2 linked regions of the Lepisosteus oculatus genome follow. The protein of the gene in region 1 interacts with the protein of each later gene in a pairwise test. Links are inferred from orthologs where the notes say so. Each region holds a gene or a part of one and is shown in the gene's direction. Other genes may lie near its edges.

Region 1 (3,753 bases):
GAGTGCTTGACAGTATCATTCCCAATTCTGTCTGCGCATTGTTAACTGACAAACAATAAGAGCTGTTTAGAAAGCAACGGGAGAGCAACAGTTTTAAACCAAGTTAAAACGGAGTTTTGATCACTGTATTTCGTGGAAATGGCAGGCATAAAGCTGATCATATTTAAGTCTACATCCTGTATGGCATCAAAGATGTGATGGTATCACTGTAATTCATGGAAACGACACACAAAAGGCTGCCCGTATGTGAGTCTCTAGCCAAAATGCGAAAAAAAAGGTTAAACATCGAATCAATCAAATATTTCAATGAAGTGGTCTATAAGTTTAAATGGCTGAAGTGCATACTGTATGTTAAATACGACGCAAAAAAAGAATAAAAGTTGATGCTGGATTTCTATATTGACGTATTTCATCGTGCCCATTTAAAGTGTGGGACTGCTACCGATGTCCGGCATCGTTGTGTATCAGTATGATTTGCTGTTTAAAAGCGCCATAAATAATTATGAGCAAGATTTTTTTATATATAAAATAAAAATACCGTCAACAATGCTGTGTGTTTCGTGACTGCACCATCTGACTTGTATAGGTAAATAACATAAATTCGTTCAAATTGACAACATGGGGGGAAAAACATTATTGTAGCCTGAGATATTGTAGCCTGTTCAGTTCTTAATATAACCGAGACAAACTAGCCTATCGCTTGCACGTTTTTTACGTTTTTTTTTTACCAAAGCATACAACGGTATAAAGAAATTCAAAGCTGCATGTTACAGAAACTTACCTTTAACGATAAAATGTTTAGAACAAAAGACAACGATCGCCAGTCTCCAAGAAGAGTTAAAACGATTTACCTAAAAGAATTGTTGCTAGCAAGATAAAAAGTTTGGTCATTACCCTACATTTTACATGTGTATCGCCGCTTCAAGCTCAGCACCATAATCTCAACAGGAAATGATCCCTGTTGATATCGGCTCGCCTTCCTTTCCTCTGAGCGGATGCGACGACTGGCATATTCCGGTTTGTAACACGCAATCACTTTAAAACAACAGCTTTTCAGTTTTTTAGCTTCTCGACTCTGTACCATGTATTCCTAGCAACGCATAAATCTAGCCGCTGCCTTCATGAGACAAGGGAAACTGGAAAGATGTTTTAAGATTTAAACAACCGGGGAAGCATAAGTGAAGGCAACGTGTTTCATCGCGGCGCAAAAGACCGAGACGGACGACTTCGGCCCAATCGCTTGCAGAGACGGGACAGCTCCACCAATCGCGGCTAGGAAACGGCGTGTGTTACACTGAGACGGGTCCCCCGTCAACAAGGCTAAAATAAACTGCAGGCAGGCAGAGAGCAAGTGGTTTGTTTTTTCTTTTTTCTTTTTTTTGAGGAGGTGGTATGAATTCCACTCAAGCGCCAAGTAGAGTTTATAAAGATGTCCCCGTCTGGATAGTGGAAGATCATCATGATGTGAGTACCAGTTTCACTTTTTTTTAATCTAATTGTCTGCGTTTCCTTTCCCTGCTTACAGCCTTAATATATCCAGCTTTCAGAATACGAATTGCAAATTGAAAGCAATAGTTGATTGTAAAATACAGTCTTAACCCTGTAGTATAATGAATACCGAAGACTGTACAAAGAGGAATATTGTCATCAATATGTATTTATGCTATTTATAGCCTCATGTATATACACTGCGAACTGTGGTCAGTTTTGTTTAATCAATCCTGTAAGTGTTCCGGGTAAATTCATGTAATATATATATATAGTTATAGTTTAAGACCCTCACAAAAATAAAATGCGAATAAAAAAATACATTTTGGACATTACCAGCTATTTTCCCGAAGAATAAACAGTACTATTAATGCTACACTGTTGTAACAAAGTACAATTATGGGAAAGCCGACAGTTGACAGATCACGTTGCTCGTTTTACAAACCGCAATTGCAATCTCTGCACTTTATTCTAATACAGGTGCTACCTCACATCTATCGCGCCATTGGCTCCAGACATTTACCTATAAAGAACATCAAAATGATCCATTTAGATTCCCACCCCGACCTGCTTATTCCTGTCAACATGCCTGCTGACACCGTGTTCGACAAAGAAGAGCTGTTTAGGTAAGATGTGTTCATTGGTCACAGATATTCTGAAAGGATTGCAGGAACAAACATGATAATGAACATGATGGTTGTTTTTTCATGAACATCTTACCTGTGGTTTGATAGCTGTGCGAGGAAAAAAAAAAAGAACATATGTCTCTCGCTGTCTCTTCTCTCCTGATCCGAACACTGATTGTCTGTCCATGTGTCCCATTATCCAATTTCTAACAGCTTCTTCCAATTCAGGGTTTCCATAGAGCCAGAACCTATCCCAGCAAGCAGCAGGCTCAAAGGAGGGTACATCTTGGACTGGGTGCCAGTCCATCGCAGGACGCACACTCACATCTAGGGCCAATTTTCCTGGATGCCAATTAACCTACCAGTATGCCCTTGGAAGGAAACTGTCACACCCAGAGGGAACCCACGCAAACACGTGCAGAACATACAAACTCCATGCCGATAGCACCCCAGGTTCAAAATTGAACTCAGGACCCCAAGCACTACGAGGCAGTCATGCTTACCACTGCGCCACCCTGCCGCTCTGCTTTTAGCTTGCTGTGGGACCGAATCACCCATGCAATATTAAGTTAAATAGTGTGTTCCTTTTAAGAAGTGTCAATTGCTTGCACATATTAATATTAATTTTAAATGAAATTAGCCTTGTGTCTGTGTAGTTCATGAATTTGTATAAGTCTCTTTATAAAATCTTTCTGGATATCTAAATATTTTGTACTGTTTGCTACTAAATTAATCATTTAGGCTTTCCACACCTCTCATCCTGTTATCCTCTAGTTTCATTCTCACCTGCTTTATGCCCATTTCCCAACTGCTCCCCGTCCCTTTCACCTACTCTGTTGTTTTGTCCTGCTATGCCATATTGATCTGCTACTGTACTTTCTCTCCCTCCTTCACACCTGAAGAAGGCTCCACAGACCAAGTGTTGTTTTTCTTTCCCTACCTTTTAGCAGCGAATGAACCTCTACCTGACCCTTTTAAATCAAGGCTTCTCTACTATGTTCATCACCTGTTCGAAGAATTCTAGCAAGAAAGTAAAATAAGACATTCCTTTCTAATCTTTGCTGTTTTTTTTAAATGCCACTGCTTTCTTAGTACTCTCCCACTTTATTTCTATCGCTACCACAACTTGGCGACTGTAGCAGAAGACTAAGGGGTCTATATCGGATTTTTTTCAATGACTCATTTCAAATAACAATTTCATTTTTGTTTCACGGTATTGAATTAAGTGCATTCAAGTATTTTGTATTTCATGACTTTCTTTCCACAAAGCTTTTAACGTTTAAAGCTGAGTTATAATACCTGATATATTTTGTTTGCTGGAGTCTGTAGTTCAGTAATGTTTGCCACGACCCGAGGAGCTCTGTAATAAGTAGGCATAAATTCTTAGGGGAAAAAAGCCATTAATCTGTCCCCTTGAATTTTAGTCTTAAACATTATCTGATATTTTAATATCTTTCCAGTGAGCTAAGTATTGAGAATTGGATTATGCCCATGGTGTATGCAGGGCATTTATCTAATGTCCTATGGCTTCACCCTTCCTGGGCACAACAGATTACAGAGGGGGAGCACAATATGTCGGTTGGGAAGGATTCCTCTACAACAACAATCAGGTAAATTCATAGTACAACATGTTGATTTG
Region 2 (3,753 bases), on another chromosome or scaffold:
CTTACCAGTCCTTTGTAAACTTATAAAAATGTCTTTCTTTCGTCGGCAGAAGTCTTTTAAAGATATAAATTGGACATTAAACTGCAGGAGTCGTGCCCGCGCACCCTCACCTACTTCAACAATAGGACCCTTACCCCCCCGCCGCCTTCTAACATTAACGAATCAAATCTCTTTAGATTGAATATTAAACAGAGCCGTTCTTCACAGGAGCCAATCATACACGTAAACAAATTTCTTAATATACATAAACACGTCCCCCTCAGGTATGCCATACGGTGGCTCGTAGGACTCAGACTTCCTCTTTTCCAAAACGTTTTTTCTTTGGCTTTGTTTCCAGAAGTATTACAATTCACTATTCTTGCTTCTCCACGTTCTTTAATTTAGGTCAATGTCGTCTAGCTCCGGTCCTGGAGAATCTGTCTGTGTACGTAAATACAACAACCCCTGGAAAGCGGGAAGAAGTTGATAAACTGGTTAAATTAAACTAGTAACGAGGTGGGATGACCAGTACGCTGACTGAACCGCACTGATTCGAGACTATGAAAACATTTCAGTCAGCTGGACCCTTAATCGCGGAGTATTAACAAATGCCCCATCCACGATGGTGAAGCAGATTCAAAGGGATCGTCTCTGTGGGCGAGAGCCTTGGATTCATAAATTAGCGCAACCCAATGAACGAGATGGATCTGAATGGTCTCCTCTCTCTGCAACGTTTGCCTATCAACTTCTGTTCTTACCATCGTTTAATAGCGATGGATTTGTTAGTGCGCTCCTTAAAACCCTGCTGATAAATGTAGTTTGTTTGTTGACTCTGTGCTCCAATATACAGGGCATACTAACGCTTGAATAATATTTTTTTAAATGCTACAGCTGAATATGCTGTGCTACAAAACAAATAAGAAACCCTTTACTGGGATGATTACTAATACTGTATTACTAATACAAGTGACAAACTCTATTGTACAGCAAAGCGACATTTTTTAGCAGGAGCAATGCCCTGGAGGTAATAGTTTTACTTTCAACGAGTCTAAAAAGCGTATTCTTGTTGTGCACGCCGTGTTTCCCAGGCATAATATACATCGTGGATGAAGCAAACATCTGGATAATGTGCAGCCCATAAGCGAGACCACGACCTGAGTGCTTCTTTTATACATCCCAGACACACAGTAAGCAAGTTCACCGTTAACAATCACCCACATCAACACTTGAGGTCGCAATCGGCTCTCGAAACCAGCAGCGCGAAGGTTTTCACTGGAAAACAAAAAGGGAAGAGGAATCCAAAATAATCGACAGGTCGAAGCGCCAATCAGAACACAGATGGTTTTACCAAGGTGACCAATCAGATTAAAGGTTTGGCGAAGACTTCCGGAATCAGATGTAGTTTCCTGTTTGTGGAGGCTGCGTGTGTTTGGGAAGATTAGGTAGACGTGATAAGGTAATCACTTTTTTAATTACGTTAATTGTTTTTAAAAAATGGCTGTCGTCGACCACGGCGTTTAATTAAAGAGCGAAAAAGTGTAAATAGCTAAACTAGGGAACGAGGGTGAGTAATATGTGATCCCCAAAGAATCGCAGCTGGGGACTTCACGACGAGATAAAAAACACCATGTGAGCGGTTTTAGATTATGAGCTTTAGCAATTAATTGTTCAGTGAAATTATCAATTCAGTTGTTTCCTTATTCAGTGGTAAGTAATGCGATGGCTCAAATTATTCTACATGGTCGTTAGGTCGCACAGCTCCTGTGGAAAGTGCTGAAATGTTTAATGAGTTACTGCAGTTTAATCTTTGAAATGAGCGCAATTTACAAGGCTTTTCTTCCGTTGTGGTTACCTAGCAGACACTTAAAGACGAAGCTCGGGCGATTACGTAGAGCGTAGAAACATGAAGATACAATAAATCCGTCGTTAAATTCTTTGTCATATCCGGACAACTGTTTTTTTTTGTTGGGTTCAGTCGGATTTCGTTTTTCGCTTTTGGGGTTCGTGGAGTATCGGTTGCAACAGCACGAACCGTATCTTACTGTGTTGAGGCAGAACGAGTTTCGCCCTGTTTTGTAGGTAGTAGAGGACACGCTTTTCAAGTTGTGCTTCCACAGTTCTGGATACAGGGTGTACCCACGCGTCACAAATCTCCCAGATGATCCCCTTCTCTTTCAAAACATCGTGGGGGAAAAACTAGGATGTAATGGATAAAGAGGTATTGAAGAGTGCAATAGTTTAATGATGGGGCCCAGAGAAAACTGGGGTTCATCTATGCCTTGACGTATAGGCGAATCATTTGATAAATTCCTCTGTTCTAAAAAAAACGTGGGAGACCACTTATCTCGCCTACCATTAATGTATTGTGTTGTGTTAATGGGGTTGGCAAATGGGGAGTTTAGGAACCCCGATATTGTCGTTATAAGGGAAGTTTGAGGCTGGTGGGGTTCCTGCCTTTGCTGTATAAAAATTGCCCAACCGATATTCGGCTCTTCTCAAGCCTAAATCGTGGCTCCCATCTTATTTCCAGTTACTAAATGGTCAAATTAATTCTTTGCCTGCAGTGCTTCTGACTGGGCTCTGATCTGTTTTGCGGGAACAGTTTCTTTACTGAAGTGTTTGAAGCACCCAGCTGTTAAAAATACTTATTTTTTTCAATAAAGAAAACAAGTCTTAAAAGTAAAATAAGCTAAGACTTAATTGTAGACAAAGTCAAAGTAAGAAACCAGGTTAAACGCCTGATGGACTTGGGACAAAAGCCCAAAGATGCTGAGATTCTGTGGACTGGCCTTGTCTCACTTCCTGCTGTCCCCGATTGGGACTTCCTGTGCTCAGCCTCGCATGCTGATTGTCTTTTCCGCCCTCCAGGTAGAAAATGGGCCGCCGCAAGTCGAAGAGAAAGCCCCCTCCCAAGAAAAAGATGACTGGAAACCTGGACACTCAGTTCACCTGCCCCTTCTGCAACCACGAGAAGTCCTGTGACGTGAAAATGTAAGGATCCGCATTACTGCTGGGGGGCCCAGTCCTAGAGTGTCTTAGATAGGGTCCCTGAGTGAATGACTTGTCAGGAATCATTTTTAGAGCAAGTATTTATTATGCTTCAGACCATCCCTTTTTTTTGGGTGCAGCTTGGAGGTAAGGTAGGAAATTTGTACTTGCGTGCAGCTTTGGAAAGGTTATGTGTACACATAACAGGGGAGCAACTTAGCAAGATGTTTTGACAGTCTTCTTGCTCACAAGTCAGGACACTACAATCCAAGGGGTTGCCCTTGATTGAGAGACAGTCAATAATTAACGTTGATGGATCTCATATACCGAAGAGTGTAATAGTGTACTAGTGTGTCCTCGTAGAGAAGAACAGTGTCTTAAATGGAGATGTACAGACATGTCTTCTCGGGGGCTCTGTCTGTGTGCATGCTTCTGGATATCTGTATTTTTTTTCTCTCTGTCACAGGGAACGAAGTAGAAACACCGGGATCATATCCTGTACAGTTTGTTTAGAAGAGTTCCAGACCCCTATAACCTGTATCCTTTACAAACACCTGCATCTGTCTGTTCTGTGCTCTACAGGAGCTGGATAGTCTCTTTTGCCAGTCTGCACGGGATACACCAGTGCAGAGAAACTCTGCCACCTTTTAAATCCAGCTGGAGTTAGAGTAGATAGCGGTTCTCCTATCCTGATCAGCAGGTTGACAGATTGTAGCATCATGACTGAATCGGAGATCGAAGCTAGGAGACTAGGTGGCACTTTGAGTAAGGAGAAGTACAGGCTCC

Evidence for each region. The genes of interacting proteins can lie anywhere in the genome.
Region 2: the proteins of c6h5orf22 (region 1) and elof1 interact in binary tests that used the Homo sapiens proteins (3 or more experiments, as listed by UniProt). The two-hybrid records come from large-scale screens. The link is inferred for Lepisosteus oculatus from reciprocal best matches to the Homo sapiens genes C5orf22 and ELOF1.

What each region holds. Positions count from the first base shown.
Region 1 is NC_090701.1:6,469,893-6,473,645, reverse strand, and holds the start of c6h5orf22 (UPF0489 protein C5orf22 homolog), read left to right. Parts: upstream 1-1,210; 5' UTR 1,211-1,392; coding exon 1,393-1,464; intron 1,465-1,968; coding exon 1,969-2,114; intron 2,115-3,574; coding exon 3,575-3,724; intron 3,725-3,753.
Region 2 is NC_090706.1:17,279,493-17,283,245, forward strand, and holds the start of elof1 (transcription elongation factor 1 homolog), read left to right. Parts: upstream 1-1,333; 5' UTR 1,334-1,435; intron 1,436-1,569; exon of another isoform or gene 1,570-1,686; intron 1,687-1,855; exon of another isoform or gene 1,856-2,197; intron 2,198-2,847; 5' UTR 2,848-2,854; coding exon 2,855-2,970; intron 2,971-3,433; coding exon 3,434-3,504; intron 3,505-3,753. UniProt on the Homo sapiens protein: Factor involved in transcription-coupled nucleotide excision repair (TC-NER), a mechanism that rapidly removes RNA polymerase II-blocking lesions from the transcribed strand of active genes.